Linked DNA regions of Kluyveromyces lactis. Each later gene encodes a partner of the first gene's protein in a complex. Links are inferred from orthologs where the notes say so. Each region holds a gene or a part of one and is shown on either strand. Other genes may lie near its edges. The genes, in order: RPA34 and RPA12.

Region 1 (2,665 bases):
TGATCCAAATTCCGATGAGAAGGATATGCCTCTGAAGAAAAGGGCCAAGAGTAGTAGCGTCGCTCCAACGGGCCAGTTGGATAGTACACATCTTTCCACGAAGATGCTTATAGCCACAGAATATATCCAAGAAAGAGGGGAAGCAGTACCGGTAGATCAAATCGAATCATATCTTTCGTTACCTAAGGATAATAATGTGATTCCGATGTTAAAGGGGTTACAAAAATTCAAGTTTGACCCAAAGAGGAACACTTTACAGTACGTATCCATTTACGATGTGCATTCTGCGGAGGAATTGCTACAACTATTAAGATCACAGGCGACGTTCAAGGGTATATCATGTAAAGAGTTAAAAGATGGTTGGCCACAATGTTTTGATACAATCGACGAGTTAGAAGCAAAGAACAGAATCCTTGTTCTTCGGACAAAGAAGGATAATTCTCCAAGGTTTGTCTGGTATAACCATGCTGGTCCATCAAGGCAAATCGATGAAGAGTTCGTTACGATGTGGGAAGCTTGTAAGCTACCTCAGCGTAGTGAATTACCAAGAAAACTACAAGATTTGGGTCTCAAGCCTGCTAGTGTGGATCCTGCTACGATCAAGAATGAGCAAACCACAAGGAAAGAGGTCAAGAAACGTAGATCAAGAAAGGGTAAAGTTACCAATACACATATGGCTGGTATATTGAGAGATTATTCCGATAGGGTATGAAGATACCTACTTTTTATAATGAACGTATTCTACATATAACCCAAATTAAAATATGACCAGTGCGTTATATATAAATAATATACAGAAAGACCAGAACGAGTGCTCTAGTCGTGCTTTCTCTTTTTTTTGCTAACTTTCTTCAAATCTTTATCCTCGTAATACCCAGTTGCGAAATGTCTAGTCTTGAGACCCTTAACCTTCAACACATCCTTTCTATCCACTCTTACCTTAGAATAATCAATGCTTGGAATCTTTGCAGTTTCGCTTATGGTAAAGATCTTATCAAATGATCTTGATGCAGATGAATCGACGGTCAACTTTGTCTTATCTACAGGAGTCAATAATGTCAATTCAGAAGAAGAAGATGCACCAGAAGTGGAATTTTCTTGTTGGATTTCCTCCTTCACAGAGAAATGTTTACCTTTTTGTTCGATGCCAGTTTCCGACTCCGCTGTGAAATCAATAGGTAATTTCGAAAGCTTAGAGACATCTAAAGATTTAGGAAGTTTGATAAGCCAAAGTTCTTTTTGCTTCAAGTTCTTAGGCTTCACGAATGATTTCAAATGTGTACATTTCTTATAGTTTTCAGGTGGAACGAAAACGTCCGTTACAGTTTCTGATGATCCATCATTATCGCTGTCGCTATCACTGATGTATTCCTTTGAAAGAGTTTTGTCGACCTTGGCCATTGTTTGAGATATTTCTTATAACGTTTTGCGAGTGGAATAATATTACAGGGAAGGGTGTAACAAAAACTCACCTGAACTAGTTAAACTGTAATTGGAACCCTAGGACCACACAGAACCTCACTTATCTGCCTCTGTGTGTCTATTTGAATCTGCAATGAGATGAGATGAGCTTAAACCGAATTTTTTCATCTTGGGAAAGACTTTTCTTTCTTTTTAGACGTTACCCGGGAAAATGCACGTGGTTAACACGTGGAACAAACTATCGTATTCATGAAATCTGTTCCAGTTCATCACAAACCATCGAGAAATGGTATGTCCGACTTGAACAGCCTTCGAGCAACATTTATTGGATCACTAATACTATGATTCCCGTTGAATGGTATGACATCGATGCCCTAAGTACTTGGTTTACTGTATTATCATGTCGAACGACGCAATTATTCCAAAAATTTTTTCCATGCTTCTTCGACACGAAGAATATAAAAAGGCTGGTAATGAGAAACAAACTAGACATGTTAAACTCATCAAACCATTTATCCAGGTTAGGTATTGAAAAGTTCTGTAGGTTGTTCTCTAGCCTCACTTGCTGTTGGCAAGTGAGCTTTATAGTATCCTTGATGGAGCAGTGTTTCACAGCCGTGAAACACTGATTCGTCTATGTTACGCTTGGAAAAGAGACCTTTTCCATGAAGAAATAAACGTAAAAGTTTGCATATACGTGGGATTCATTATTACTTCATACCTTACGAAAGAACTTCAAAACATTTAACGATGATGAAAACGGTCTACACTTCTTTCCCAGTCCGATATCGACCATGACGATATGGGAGTCTACCATGTTGTTGTCTTACGGGGCAACGACTTTTTAAGCCAGTACATGCTTTGACATGTACAATTTAGATCATCTGAGTTTTCTCTTTTTAGTTTTCTTAAGGTCAAAGTAACAGTGAAACAAGATCCATCGTCGTATCTTCTGTTGCATTTATTTCTTCAAAACGTTTCACTTCTTCTTTTTAGCTAAGAACATGATTGTGCGTTATGGATTTTAACATTTTTTTATATGATGAAAATTGGTTCCTTTACATTCGCAGTTTCCACGGTAGGAGTACGCCTACGAACCCATCGTTAGTACTCTTCAGTGACCGCTCTTTATTGAGACCTTCCTAGGATGTCTGATCTTTTTATATGTTATTATCCATTTCCATTTTCAATCCTGTTATCATCGCAGAACCTGTAGAACTGTCAATCTTTCTTGCTTTGTCTT
Region 2 (2,497 bases), on another chromosome or scaffold:
TGCGACCTGGACAATTGGACCAACAACTTGGCGATTTCGTTATCCAATTCCATTCTGGAAAGAATGGTGGCACCATCGTTAGTGATGGTAATCTCGCCATCTGGCGAGATTAAGATCTTATCCAACCCACGAGGACCCAAAGAGGTCTTAATGATCGAAGCCACGGATCTAGAAGCTAGGATATGTGATTTCTTAGCATCGATCCCATGCTGTCTTTTCTTGTTACCTTGGTCTCTAACGATGATAAATGGTCTACCCATTTCATCTTGAGCGACAATTGCGTTGGAAAGATCGGGCATAGGCACACTCATTTTGAAACGATATCGATACGGTGTGAATTGCTGGAGTTGGGGCACCGTTCAGAAGTGATACGTCTCATTGAAAACCAACTTCCAATGTGTTTGAAGATTACATACATATTTGATGGCGCTGGACAATCTGTAATAATTCCATATTACAGAATTGGAAAAAAAATACAGGGCCGGGTAACAACTTATTATTATTTAACTCTCTCTCTCTATTATATTATGTACACACATATATGTATATATGGGGCGGGCAGAACAGTGCTCAGTTATTCGTTCTGAATCTATATCCACATGCGGTGCATGTGTAGAACACCGTGGCACCTTCATCTGCAGATCTAAGCTGTAGAGTGTGGTAATGCATCTTATCGTTAGCACATTTCGGACATTTTTCGTTGATGATAGCACCATCTTTCAATTCGTTCTTGGCAATAGACGTCTTAACTAACGATTTCTTGGATCTGATTTTGGATGGGAACGATTTATCGTTTGTTGAGGTTACCACTTTCAAGTTTTGGAATTTTGACGAATTGTAAGAGGCATTGCATTGGTTACATCTGATCTTGCCTTGACTGGACTCTTGTCCATCGAGTAGATCACCACACTCGAGACAAAATATGAGAGAACCGACAACAGACATGCAAAAGTGTTTCTTTGGAGTATTGGTACTTAGCTGAGGAGGAAGCGGGGGAGGAAGCGGGGGACGGGGGGGGAGTAATGCAAGGCAAGTCATCTGATACCATCTCATCTCATCTCATCTTAGGCTATTCAATTTTCAATAAAGGCTTCTTTAGTTTTTCATTCGAGAAGAGTGGAAAAGAAATGAGACGTTGTTACCCGGACATTACCCGGACTACGTAGTAGTCCGGGTAATCCAAGAAGTCCGGATATACCACGAGGTGTTACCCGGACTGAACGTCCGGGTAACACCTCTTCTAATTCCCGACATTTTTCTTTCTGTCCGACAGCTCACTCACTATTCTTACATACAATCCTCATGATTTTTTACCACCTTCTCCTTGCCTACTTGCACGGCACTCTCTTTTTTCGTGCCTCTTAATCATTGCACCCTTTCCCCAATTAGGAAAATAACCCTTTGAGTGCCAATATCGGTGTTCTAGACCCACTACATGGATTCTCCATCTATCTGATAACGAAAAACAAAAAAAAAAAAAAAAAAAAAAAAAGATTCAAAGATAAGGTCTAGGCCCTAAAAAAGCCATTATCCGTGACGTAACACGATAACAATGCAATAACTCCAATTTATCCGTTCCGCAGAGCAAGTGTTTGCACATAAACACTGCTCTATTAGTTTCTTCTTATCGTAACAGCCGGTCCCCGCCGTATTTGGTTTGCACGACCTTCCGTCTGTGCCGGGTAACTTGATTGATCCTCAATAAGATCATCTAATTGATCGGAATGGTGATTTCAAATTTCAGGTTTGCACGACCTTCCGTCTGTGCCGGGTAACTTGATTGATCCTCAATAAGATCATCTAATTGATCGGAATGGTGATTTCAAATTTCAGAATTGCTTTTTGTTGCCTGCTTGTCATGTCAATTGCCTTGCCATCTTTTTCCACAATACCATTGATTTGACATTGATTTGACATTCATAAAATAATAATACTGCCTCTCCATACATAACTATATCTTATATATATATATATATATATATAAGATAAAAGAAACAGTCAGTGAACGGTGATTTTTGATTTTGGCGGTGCCCTTCTCTCGAACGTCTGGTAAAGTAATATAGCGACGACGAGAAAAGGACCCAGGTTTTTTAGTAGTACAGTCAAAAATGCTAGATCATAGAGGCAGGAACGTAGTATGGTTCTTGGCTCTTGCTGCAGTGCTGGTCACGTTGTACTCTTCGTTCTTGTTGTTTTGGACAGACGAAGCAGGGCTTACTGGCGGCTAGGAGAGGTTTAAGCAACAGGATCAGAATGAGAAGCAGCAGCAGCAGCAAGCTGCTGCTGCTGCTGCTGGTTCTGGTTCTGGTTCTGGTTCTGGTGCGAAATCCGATTCTTCAGAATCGGATTTCAGTGCTATTTTGAATTTCGATGGTAGTAAGAGTGCGCAGTACCAACGCATTCAAAAGTTCCTTTTCGATTCTACTTTCAACACAACGGTTTTCTATAGGAAACCTTATACATTAGCATCTCTTTTCTCAAGACTTTACAGCAGCAG

The links.
Region 2: RPA34 (region 1) and RPA12 share a complex: the UniProt entries of both Saccharomyces cerevisiae proteins name them as parts of the RNA polymerase I (Pol I) complex. The link is inferred for Kluyveromyces lactis from reciprocal best matches to the Saccharomyces cerevisiae genes RPA34 and RPA12.

What each region holds. Positions count from the first base shown.
Region 1 is NC_006037.1:552,587-555,251, forward strand, and holds RPA34 (DNA-directed RNA polymerase I subunit RPA34), read right to left. Parts: upstream 1,402-2,665; coding exon 817-1,401; downstream 1-816. Other genes in the region: transcription factor TFIIE subunit TFA2, read left to right, coding at 1-712. UniProt on the Saccharomyces cerevisiae protein: DNA-dependent RNA polymerases catalyze the transcription of DNA into RNA using the four ribonucleoside triphosphates as substrates. Component of RNA polymerase I (Pol I) which synthesizes ribosomal RNA precursors.
Region 2 is NC_006038.1:1,214,017-1,216,513, reverse strand, and holds RPA12 (DNA-directed RNA polymerase I core subunit RPA12), read right to left. Parts: upstream 1,054-2,497; coding exon 571-1,053; downstream 1-570. Other genes in the region: chaperonin-containing T-complex subunit CCT5, read right to left, coding at 1-311. UniProt on the Saccharomyces cerevisiae protein: DNA-dependent RNA polymerases catalyze the transcription of DNA into RNA using the four ribonucleoside triphosphates as substrates. Component of RNA polymerase I (Pol I) which synthesizes ribosomal RNA precursors.